Linked DNA regions of Drosophila melanogaster. The protein of the gene in region 1 purifies or fractionates together with the protein of each later gene. This does not show direct contact. Each region holds a gene or a part of one and is shown in the gene's direction. Other genes may lie near its edges.

Region 1 (3,600 bases):
TCGCCGGTGGAGCCACTGCCAAGCCCTTCGTGACGCATCACAATGACCTCAAGATGGATCTGTTCATGCGCATTGCTCCGGAGCTGTATCACAAGATGCTGGTGGTGGGTGGACTCGATCGTGTGTACGAGATCGGACGGCAGTTCCGCAACGAGGGCATCGACCTCACCCACAATCCTGAATTCACCACGTGCGAGTTCTACATGGCGTATGCCGACTACGCTGACATTATGGATATCACCGAGCAGTTGGTCTCGGGAATGGTGAAAGCGATCCGTGGCTCCTACAAGGTCATCTATCATCCGGAGGGTCCAGAGGGACCTGAGCAAGAACTTGACTTTACGCCGCCCTTTAAGCGCGTATCCATGATCAAAACGCTGGAAGAGAAGCTGCAGGTGAAGTTCCCCGCGGCCGACACCTTCAATTCGCCAGAGACGAATCAGTTCCTGTCTCAGCTGTGCGCTAAGCACCAGGTCGAGTGCCCAGCTCCGCGCACCACTGCCCGCCTGCTGGACAAGCTCGTCGGCGAATTCATCGAGGAGTTTTGCGTGAATCCAACGTTCATCTGTGAGCATCCGCAGATCATGTCGCCGCTGGCCAAGTACCATCGCAGTATTCCCGGCCTGACGGAGCGCTTCGAACTGTTTGTGGCCAAGAAGGAGATTTGCAACGCGTATACCGAGTTGAACGATCCGGTTGTGCAGCGCGAGCGTTTCGAGCAGCAGGCCAGCGACAAGGCGGCCGGCGATGATGAGGCCCAGCTGGTCGACGAGAACTTCTGCACGTCCCTGGAGTACGGACTGCCGCCCACCGGTGGTTTTGGCATGGGCATCGATCGCCTGGCCATGTTCCTCACGGACTCCAACAACATCAAGGTGGGTCTACACTTGGTCTTTAACTTATTGCAAGCGTTGCTAAATGAGGCTTCTTTTTTTTTGTAGGAGGTTCTGCTGTTCCCCGCCATGAAACCGGAGGATGCCAACCGCACGGCAGCGGAAACTGCTCCCACCGCACAGCAGTAGATGGCCAACGCCGCTCACTCCACTCAGACCCAATCCTTGTACGTTACGCTGGTCCCGGACTAATCCCAGTTGCTAAGTTATTCAACCAATAAACATTTTTCCCAATAACCAAAGCTGCGTCAGTTTCTTTTTTTTATTTTCTGCTAATGTCCGAGTTTTGGGATAATAAATATTATTAAGATAATTCTATAATACTTTATATGGAAAATATCTCGATTATATAAACCAGGTACCGTAAATTATCAAAATTTTTCAGTTAAAATTTTTTTGATTTGACATAATTTTTGTGTTATATCTAATCTAATGATTATTTATGCGGATAAAAGAAAGACTTGATATGTAAATCAGTACGCATTTTTGTAATAAAACCTAAAATTATACTGATATCAATTAATAGTGTTTTTTGAAAACGATTTTGTTGCTGCGCTTTAGGTTTTATTCTAATAAGAATATATTTTCGCGCTTACCAGCACCGCGCCACTTATCGATAAGCGCGATAGGCGCGTATCGAGGACCAATGGACCGATAGGTCTGGTGAAATGAAAACATTGGGGCAAAAAAACGCGGAAATTGTCAATTAATCTGTGCAATCACAGGATGGGGGACCAACAGCAGCTGATCCTGGCCACCGGTGGTTATGACCACACCATTAAGGTGTGGCAGGCGCACACGGGCAACTGCATTAAGACGATGAGATTCGTGGAGACCTCGGTAGGAATAAACCGATTCGTGCATTTTCCGGTTAACGAACATGCTTTAACTTGCAGCAAGTGAATGCGCTAGACAGGACACCGGATAAGACGCGACTGGCGGCGTGCGGATACCAGTGCATCCGGCTGTACGACCTGGAGTCCAACTGCACCGCACCGGTGATCAATTTCGATGGCGTGCAAAAGAATGTGACGCGACTTGGCTTCCAAGAGGACGGCAATTGGATGTTCACCGCCGGCGAGGATCATCACGTGCGGATCTGGGACATGATTGCCGCACCGCCACACTGTTCCCGGATCTTTGATTGTGAGGCGCCGGTAAATGCCGCCTGTTTGCATCCCAACCAGGTGGAGATCGCCATGGGCTCACAAAATGGCAGCGTCTTTCTGTGGGACGTCAAGTCGGAGCGGCACGAACGCATCGTGCCCGAGGTGGACGCATCCATTCAGGATGTTGCCATCTCGCCGGATGGCAGATACTTGGCGGCGGCCAATAACAAGGGCAACTGCTACATCTGGTCGCTGACCAGTCAGGATCAGAAGATGAGCACGCTGCGGCCGAACAGGAAAATTCCGGCCCACTCTCGCTACATACTGCGCTGCAAATTCAGTCCCGATTCCAGGCTACTGCTGACGACATCCGGCGATGGCACTGTGTGCATTTGGAAGACGGATGACTTTAGCAAATGGCGCGAGCTGTGCATCGAGAACTATTGGGTGTGGGATGCCGCCTTTAGCGCCGATTCTAAATGGCTGTTCACAGCCTCATCCGACGGCATTGCACGACTGTGGAAGCTGCAGACAAAGAGTTCGATTAGGGATTATACTGGTCACACCAAGGCCATCACTGCCCTGTCCTTCAAGGACGAGATCGTGGGCAAATAGCAGTAGTTGTAGTAGTAGTAGTAGTAGCTAGCGGCTAGAGTCTAGGCACTTTGTAAGTGGCTCCTGGTGGCGGATTTTCATTTGGCTTTCCCCAAAGATTGGCCTACTAGTTTTAGTCATTCTACCAATTAGCTGGCTTAAGTCCACACAAAATGAATGGCAATTGTAATGGTTTGTTAAGCATCGCGGTTTTAGTTTCTACTCTTAATTAGACTCAATGTTTTAGTTCAGCTTACGTTTCCCAATTAGATGCATATATATAAAATGGTAATTCATAGTCTCAAAAAAATTGATATCCTTAATGTTTGAAAAACTGCCAGCAGTGCTCATTAATTCACTTCCGAACTTAATTACGATCTATCTTAAGCCAGTTAAATCAACAAATATCTCAGATGTACAATCATCCGCAAAACCGCCAACCCAGCGAGACAATCCGCCAGGAACAAATAATTTGGCATTTTTTGAAACAGTGGGGAGAGTAGCAATGAATCCATATATGGGCAACACGACAACTGAACTGAACTGAAGCATCAACTAAAACAACATCCACACAACAATTGAACAGATTAATGAGAATACCTCTGAAAATGAGCGCTTGGCTTTTGTAGCGACTTTTTCATAATTTATAAACCTTTGATACATAATTATATTACGACTAAATCGTTTGTATGCAAAATGCAATTTGAATAAAAATCTTATCAGCGTACATACACATACAATACAGAAATTGAAAAACCAAAAGTATCTTTAAGATAATGGGGAGCACAACATAGATGCGGGAAAATTGACTGTCTTTCGTTCTTTTCATTTTCCTCCTGCGCTTTCAGTGGACGGGAGCGGGTGATACTTATATGTCGGGGTATTTTAGTCCACATAGTCAATGCCTTTGGCCACAATCGATTCCTTGATGGGATCCGGATCGTCGCCCAGCTTGTAGCCCACAATGCATGTTACGTCCACGGCCTTGCCTGTCGGATTTAGCA
Region 2 (4,296 bases), on another chromosome or scaffold:
CGAACTACTACAGAACTGCTCTGAGATTTCTTTTTGTAGCCGAGTGTTGGGTGGGCTTGCTGATCCTGTTATTTCCGTTGTCCTAGGTCCTGTCCTTATTATTGTTTCTGTTGCTGTAGTAGTGCTTCCTGCTGCCGTGTTGTGTGACTTGAAGCGTGCCACAGAGCGGCATGTAAACACAACCTTAAATTAAAATATGTTTGCTTATGCAGTTTGTAAAGCAAACTGAACGGCAAACTATAACCGATTCCTCCCGCCAACCTAGGCATAAATTAAAACTTTGCAACATTCGCACGGAGCCAGTGTTTCGCTCGGCAAAAGCTAATTATGCATAAAGCTGCGGCCCTGGCAAGGGGTTTATTTACCTTTTGGTCTACTGCCATCCAAGAGGTTGATGTTGCCACAGCCCCGAGAATCAGTACTCCTGGGTCGGAGGTCATCGGCGGTCGTGGGTGGTGGTTCGCTGAGCGGTATTATGACAGCTGCCCAGCTGACTGACAGGCTGCGGTGAGAACTGCTGTCGGCGGCGGAAATTAAACGCCTCGATTTGCGTGCCCGTCACGCGTAAATCAGGTAACACAAGGCCCGACAAGGCTGCTGGCCATCAAATTCATTAGAACCGATACCTACATATGTACCTTGAAAAACCAAAAGTTTCTATGAACCCTGAACTAGTAGTCATACTGTTTCTACTTCCATATTTAGTAAGCTGGATAAATGGTTCTTCATAGGTATAAAGCTCATTAACTAAAAATTGTTTAATGGGTAACCTAATACTTTTCCTGAAAGTGATTAGTGTATAAATGACTTAAGTGCGATAAAAACCTGAATTTAATCTGGTCTTAACGAAGTATTCAACCGATTAAGCAGCAACGACCTAGTCGGCCAACAACTAATGATCAGGTCACTCATCAATCTGTGAAGTGTTGGCAGACCGCTCATCATCAACCCCACCAGCTTCTGGGATTAATCCCTAGCCCCGAAACCACCGAAATGGGCAGCCGCATTGGATGAGCCGTCCGCTGATTTATGTGACACACATTAGGACGACCGGCTAGTTCGTCCAGTGTAAATTGAAAGGGGCCCGGCAACGAAACTGCAACATATCGCCGCGTTTTATGATGCTTCGAAATTAACAATTTTAGCTGCCCGCAGCGGCAGCCGCATTCCATGTTAATGCACTTTATCGCCCCCGGCCAGGCGAAATTACTCAAAAAATGGCGCACAAATTGCAAACAGGGCGCGCATAAATTAATCGAAGCCTAGGCTAGCGAAATTAAAACATTAATCTGCGCACCCGACCAAGCAGCACAATAATTAATGCTGGCTAAAATTTATTAATTTATTTATAAAGCCAAAAAGGGCGGCTGAAAAGGCACTGAATAAGAGGTGCGAATCGTGGTCCGAATGCGAGTCCTACGGATCCTCGAAAGAAAACGAGAACGGGAATGGGAATGGGAATGATGGAAGTGCCCAAGTGCCGTCCGACAATAAAAACCAAAGACATCTTCAAATGGCCCGGGATGAAGTGGACAGCCATGAGGCAGCTTCCTTGGCTCTGCTGGACAGTGCGCAGTTTTTAAAAATGTCAGTACGCCCTCTAGGGACAGATTAGCGATTAATCTACGGGGCATGGTCACATGGACGCCCTTCGGACAACAGACTGCGGACTGCGGTCCTCCTCGTTGCTGGGAGGACGAGGTAACGATTAAAAAATCTCCACATAAAAGACTGAGCACTTAATCAAAGAGGATTTAGAGAAGAACTAAGGGGCGATTACAGAGGACGGACGGGGTAAAAAGCCAAGGCAACCAGAGCCAAAACCGTTGATGCGGCTCTTTGTTTCTAGCTGCTTCTTCTCACAACGCATACCCTGCAATCTCAGACTGGGCATTTCAGCAATCTAAGCTAATAAAGTAAAGAAGATGATATAATAGTGTACGATACAAAAAGTGTACGAGTATCCATATTATTAATCATATGGTGTGGCATACTTTTATAATTCTAATGAATGAAACACGTACTTTCATTACTTTCAAACACTTTGATGCATTTTCCCTTCACTCAGGTAGCTAATTGCAGTGAGACAGACAGGCAGATGCTCGATAAGTAAACAGGCAGGTTAAGGTGTGTTTCTGCTTCAAGGGTGGTTTGGCAATTTTTCCATTTATAAAGTAAGGTGAGTATATTGATTTTTCGCAGTTGGAAGCGAACACTTGGCAGGTGTGAAGTGCTGATCCAGAAAGGAGCTAGTCTTGGCACAGGTAAGTTTTCCGCTTGAAATTTCTCTACCTTGTTATTAGAAGTCTTAAAATTCACTAAATATTTATCTATTTCGTTTCTGAGATAATCATTGGAGAGCATCTCCCAGTCGCCATGCTCTCGCATTAATCGCCTTACTTGGATTTTAACTACATATTACAAGCACTTTTATTTCGCTAAGCGTTGCTCATAGTTTTCGGTGCGCTTTTTCATTGCCATGCAGCATCCAGCTCCACCTCCAACTCCACCTCGATCCCCTCGTGAAAGACCTTAAATAGTGGCAAAGACATCTCACAGACTTGGCGCGCTGCATTTGTCAATTTACTACGAGCTGAAAGGGGCGTGGCCGCGCATAAAAATGATATATGTGAGCGCTGAGTTAGCAATTTTCGTATGAATTGGCAGAGTTGCAGTTGCTGCTGATTCTGCTGCTGCCGTTCGCTTTATGAATTTCTTTATGGCCAACCTATAAAATATTTTGATTGCACCATGGTGTGTTCGGATGAGGGGGCAGTTTGAAATTAAATGCCTGCCGCTTGATTTGCTCGCTGGACCTCAAGTGGATTCCTCGCAATCCTCGTCCACTCGACCACTGTCCACTTCAGTTCAGTTCAGCTCGGACCTGGCCTGTTCGGACCTAGCCCGTTCGGCAATTATGGAAGAAAAACCGCAAAGCGCTCCAAAGCCGGCCCAAAACATTTGTTGGCCTTGCCAAGTGCTTCTCTGTGCAGCGCCAGAAATTTGGCATTTCCCCTGTAATCCTTTTGTGTGCTAATTGGAGCGTTGCCGGGCCATATATATATCCCCTGGAAAATATCTGGCCCAAACAGTCCGCTTGCCGGCCCATTCGGGGCACTGAAATCGGCTTAGAACACTTGTCAGCCCACCAAATGTAAATATTAAACGGGGCCATTTAAATGGATTTAGTTTCGCAAATACACAGTATATCGGCTGGGCCTTGAAATTTTAGTTTCAGATTTAAATAAATAAATAAATAATATTAATAAAGGGTATAGTAAATATTTGGTGGAATTCTCAACTTCAAAATAGCATGTGACTCATACAAAATATACAACACATCGTTAATATATACTATATTAATACATTACTGAACTGGTAGCTCTTAACATCAATACATCTTTTAAAAATTAGTCACGTGTAATTAAAATGTGTCTTTTTAGGATAATTTATTACCTTAACATATTAATAAGTTGATTTGCACAAATCAAAAGTTTGTATCTACAGGAAACGTTTAGGAACTAAAAATATTACTAAAATTATACTCAATTATCGTCTTGCCAAATAAGTCAACAATGCGACTCGCTTTATTGATATTTGGACTTTCAATATCATGGGTAAACCAAACATTTTGGAGTTTGATAAACGCGTGCTAAACTGATGAACACTGCGTGATTATGTTTGGATTTCATTGTGATCAGCTATCGGATTCACGGCGAGACATCTCTATTAATTTATACAAAACATCATCTATTTTGGAATACAGGAGCTATAAGGTAGGCTAAGCTGAATGTGTGCTCAACTGATTATATGATTAACATTTGCCCAAAGGCTTTCTGCAGGTAAACAATATATACGTGTTATCTCGCACAAGTTGGCCAGAAGTTCAGGGCATTTGGCATTATTTGTCATATTCGCGACGCTTGTCGAACGCCTCTTATCATCTGGGATTAAAGTACACACGACTTTATCGCCATCTCAGTTGCTTTTCTCATCCGGCGAGACAAGATGAGATTTTTCTGCCATTGATAGTAGAGCGTCGAAGCCCACCAGACGTAGTTCAAAAAGTGCGAGATTGCGAACAGAGTATTATCAATCAACTTGCTGAGTTATATAACTCGGGCGGTAGACAAGCCCCCGAAAAGTTCCGATTACTTAATATAAATAGAATTGGTTTCGACCTACTTATAACTGTTTTTGTTTTGATTGCCATTTAAATCGGCTCTTTAGGTAAGTGCTTTTTGCCTCACATATATAAATGAGGTAAAATATGTTAATCGCAATTGAAATGAGCAG
Region 3 (4,296 bases), on another chromosome or scaffold:
CGGCACTGAGCCCAAATTATCGCAAAAATAAATTAGGAAATTTCATTGAGTCATTGGGATTTATGAGTTTGTTGATCCATTTTATTCTGTATATTTAGTGTCAGATCGAGTTTGGATGTCTAGCATGTCGGACAGACGTAAAGTTTATATTTTGGTCCTTCTCCAGGCCATTTTCTTCAACCAATTGGCTGAGTGTGGTAAGCAAAAGCAATGATTTTTAAGTTTTCGTAAAAAACCGAAGATGTTATATCTTGCTCAATAATATCCTTGCAGAGGATGTGTGCTGTGAATAGGTCACGTTCGACCCCATGAATTATAAAAATTATCATATCCATCGATCCGTTTTATTATAAATCATATTCAAAAATAATAATAATAATAATATTTCCACATAGACTCGTACTGCTATACTTTATCGGGGCTTTCACTTATCTATTTTTGTAATTTATAGTTCGGTTATCAAGCTGCCAAAAGGATGAGAAATGCACCAGACTGGTTAGCTGCTCGCCGCTTATGAACATCCTTAGGCCCCGGGGCATGACCCAGGCGGAGAAAGATGTGTTTGCACACAGGCAGTGTGGCCTGGACCCCAATGGACACGAGTTGTTGCACATGGTTTATGTCTGCTGCCCAGAGTTGGGTGACGTCTTGCCCAACAAACAGACCTGTGGACAAACGACGCCCGTGTTCCGAGATCGGGGTGCCGAGAATGCAGAGCTTAATGAGTACCCTTGGATGGTATTGCTGTTATATGAGAATCGGCTATCCTTGATGTGGAATCAACGAACTGGTTGTGCGGGCTCACTGATCAACAGTCGCTGTTCACACATGAACACGAATATATTTAAAGACTTACAATTTTGGGCTCCGTTCATATCTTATGTAAATGAATCGAGAGCGATAAATTATATTTAGGATTTTGTTATCTAAGGCGACATGGGTGCATTGCTCAAAAACATGTAATTTAAGTGCACACTACATGAGTCAGTCACTTGAGATCTTTCCCCGCCTCCTAAAATAGTCCCTTAGTGGGAGACCACAGATAAGGTCCTCGCCGCTCAAGATAGGCAGATGTGCCCGAGCGTGGGACCTCGATAAGGCGGGGACTATTTACTTAGGCCTCTGCGTAGGCCATTTACTTTAAGATGCGATTCTCATGTCACCTATTTAAACCGAAGATATTTCCAAATAAAATTAGTTTCTTACAAAAACTCAACGAGTAAAGTCTTCTCATTTGGGATTTTACAGTCGCTATGTGCTGACCGCTGCCCACTGCGTGATCGGTGGTTACTTGACGCAGAATGACCTGGTTCTGAAGAGTGTGCGCCTGGGCGAGTCCACTACCGACTGCATCACCTCGGAAAGCAGGTGTCCACATTTGGATGTGGAGGTGGGGCAAACAACAGTACATCAGGGTTTCACTTCGAGTGGCGGAACTTACCGCAACGACATCGCCCTCCTCCGATTGCAATTCCCAGTGCGGTGAGTAGCAGTGATCTCCACCCTAATCTCCACATCTTATGGAAATTTCTTTACAAACCCGCTAGATACACGAAAAAGATCCAACCCATTTGTCTATTGGACGCCGAATTTCCCCTACAGGATTTGAATTTGCAAATCTCTGGCTGGGATCCGACTAAAAGCAGTCAAACGTTGATCACCAGCACGGTCAAGGAAAGGAATCCTGCTGATTGCTTGAATAGGTATCCCAGCTTTCGCTCCGCGTCCCAAGTATGCGCCGGTGGTCAACGGAAAGGGGACACCTGTGCGGGCATCTCCGGCAGTCCGGTAATGGGCATCATGGGAAGCGGCGTCGACGAGTTCGTCTTTTTGGCAGGCATTGCCTCATATGGACAACAATATTGCTACTCTGCTGGTATTCCAGGTGTTTACACAAAAATTGGCCACTTTTCGGAGTGGATCAAAGCGAATTTGGCTCCCTAATTTTAATAAAGAATTCATATTTGCAAAATTGGAATAGCATCTGTTCCATTAATCCACTACTATAAAGTAATAGACCTATAAAACCCCAAAAGATAAGAAAAAGCACTGAAGATTGTTTTTTAAAAAACGTGTTGTTCAAAAAACATAACGTGCCGAGAGAAGATTAAGCATAAATAAATTTCTAATAACTACACCGCTGGGTTTGCCCAGCTCAGCAGAACTACTATGTAAATATTAAGGCAGGGAAAGACCACCCTATTCACATAGCTTTTGCCTTTGTTGCAATCTAGATGGTATTGAGTCCGGAGATAACCTCTGCTAATCACGCCCAATGCATCGGGAGAGAATCGGTGACAGCGAAACTGCCGGACAGCTTGGTTAGTATCAGCTTGGAGCCCATAGCGACGAGATGGCTTCTACGGAACGGAATTTTCTGCTACTGTCACTGGTGGTCAGCGCATTATCCGGCTTGGTCCATCGATCAGGTGGGTAAGCTGTCCTTTGGGCAAACAATATCCACAGCAACTGGATGCAATGGTGCTTCTTTCAAAAGTATATAGTTCTATATATATAGTATAGTATAGTATATAGTTTGAATAAAGCTAGAAAAACTAAGCACTTGACCTTGTTGATTGTGAGAATAAAAACCATAACAACTAATAATCAAAGAGTTTTTGAAAACTTCAAATATATTAAATATCAACATATAGTTTCCCGGACTAAGAAATTTTATGAGAAATATTAGACATGAAGTCCATTAGTAGAATGGATTGCCTTTAATGGATTGGTTCAGAACCGGTTAGACTGCATCGTAAATCGCGCTCTTCTCTTCCAGACGCAGCGGAGATCAGCTTTGGCAGTTGTACGCCCCAGCAGAGCGATGAGCGCGGCCAGTGCGTTCACATCACCAGCTGCCCCTACCTGGCCAACCTGCTGATGGTGGAGCCAAAGACTCCCGCCCAGCGAATCCTTCTCTCCAAGAGCCAGTGTGGCCTGGACAACAGGGTTGAGGGCTTGGTGAATCGAATCCTGGTCTGCTGTCCGCAGAGCATGCGGGGCAATATCATGGACTCGGAACCAACTCCTTCGACGAGGGATGCACTGCAGCAGGGGGATGTGCTGCCTGGAAATGACGTCTGCGGCTTCCTTTTCGCTGATCGCATTTTCGGGGGCACCAATACGACCCTCTGGGAATTCCCATGGATGGTATTGCTGCAGTACAAAAAACGTGAGTAGATTACCTACCCAGGCTCTATTTTAATCTCTTATAGGAAGGTTGTTTCACGAGGTCACCTGTAATCATTTTTTAATCACTTTTTCAAATCAAATTCTCCAATGGGGGGATCATCATTATAAGAAAACGCATATTCAATATATACAAGGCTATTATTAGTATCTAATCAATTTATAATATGTACTTGGGAAACGCTCTTTATCCTTTCAGTTTTTTCTGAAACCTACACTTTCAACTGCGGCGGTGCATTGCTCAACTCGCGCTACGTCCTGACCGCTGGACACTGCCTGGCCAGCCGAGAACTGGACAAATCCGGTGCCGTTCTACACAGCGTTCGCCTGGGGGAGTGGGACACTCGTACCGATCCTGACTGCACCACCCAGATGAACGGACAGCGCATCTGTGCACCGAAACACATCGACATTGAGGTCGAGAAGGGCATCATCCACGAGATGTATGCTCCCAATTCCGTTGATCAGCGTAATGACATTGCGTTGGTGCGCCTTAAGAGGATTGTTAGGTATGTGGTCCAGAGATCCCTCAATTATTCCACTGACTTGCTTTTTTGTTTTTGCCACAGCTACACCGACTACGTGCGTCCAATATGCCTTCCCACGGATGGTTTAGTCCAAAACAACTTTGTGGACTACGGCATGGATGTGGCCGGCTGGGGACTTACCGAGAACATGCAGCCAAGTGCGATCAAGCTGAAGATCACCGTCAACGTTTGGAACCTAACGAGTTGTCAGGAAAAGTACTCCAGCTTCAAGGTGAAACTGGACGATTCTCAGATGTGTGCCGGCGGCCAGTTGGGCGTGGATACATGCGGTGGCGATTCCGGCGGTCCCCTTATGGTGCCTATATCCACGGGCGGCCGGGATGTCTTCTACATTGCCGGCGTCACCTCCTACGGGACGAAGCCCTGCGGCCTCAAGGGATGGCCCGGCGTCTATACCCGCACGGGGGCTTTCATCGATTGGATAAAGCAGAAATTGGAGCCATGATGAATACATACTTAAATACATGATAACCATGTGAAAAGCGCGATGTAGATATTGGGGTTTAATCAATTCACATGAGATCGGCACTGTCAAGTTTTGCGAGCACAACCGGTTGTA

Evidence for each region.
Region 2: the proteins of Lst8 (region 1) and CG8654 purify together in Drosophila melanogaster (affinity purification with mass spectrometry, with the first as the bait; one large-scale study listed by BioGRID). This does not show direct contact.
Region 3: the proteins of Lst8 (region 1) and SPE purify together in Drosophila melanogaster (affinity purification with mass spectrometry, with the first as the bait; one large-scale study listed by BioGRID). This does not show direct contact.

Annotation. Positions count from the first base shown.
Region 1 is NC_004354.4:9,603,895-9,607,494, reverse strand, and holds Lst8 (Lst8), read left to right. Parts: upstream 1-1,525; 5' UTR 1,526-1,619; coding exon 1,620-1,733; intron 1,734-1,789; coding exon 1,790-2,617; 3' UTR 2,618-3,341; downstream 3,342-3,600. Other genes in the region: LysRS (Lysyl-tRNA synthetase), read left to right, coding at 1-875, 942-1,022; Gga (Golgi-localized, gamma-adaptin ear containing, ARF binding protein), read right to left, coding at 3,482-3,600. UniProt on the Drosophila melanogaster protein: Subunit of TORC1 and TORC2, which regulate cell growth and survival in response to nutrient and hormonal signals. Essential for TORC2-mediated regulation of cell growth and phosphorylation of Akt1.
Region 2 is NT_033778.4:19,977,046-19,981,341, forward strand, and holds the start of CG8654 (uncharacterized protein), read left to right. Parts: upstream 1-2,196; 5' UTR 2,197-2,264; intron 2,265-3,494; exon of another isoform or gene 3,495-3,776; intron 3,777-3,831; exon of another isoform or gene 3,832-4,230; intron 4,231-4,296.
Region 3 is NT_033777.3:23,683,933-23,688,228, forward strand, and holds SPE (Spatzle-Processing enzyme), read left to right. Parts: upstream 1-2,322; 5' UTR 2,323-2,353; coding exon 2,354-2,429; exon of another isoform or gene 2,430-2,605; intron 2,606-2,779; coding exon 2,780-3,172; intron 3,173-3,388; coding exon 3,389-3,698; intron 3,699-3,758; coding exon 3,759-4,182; 3' UTR 4,183-4,215; downstream 4,216-4,296. Other genes in the region: CG18754 (uncharacterized protein), read left to right, coding at 125-197, 452-773, 1,249-1,482, 1,548-1,944.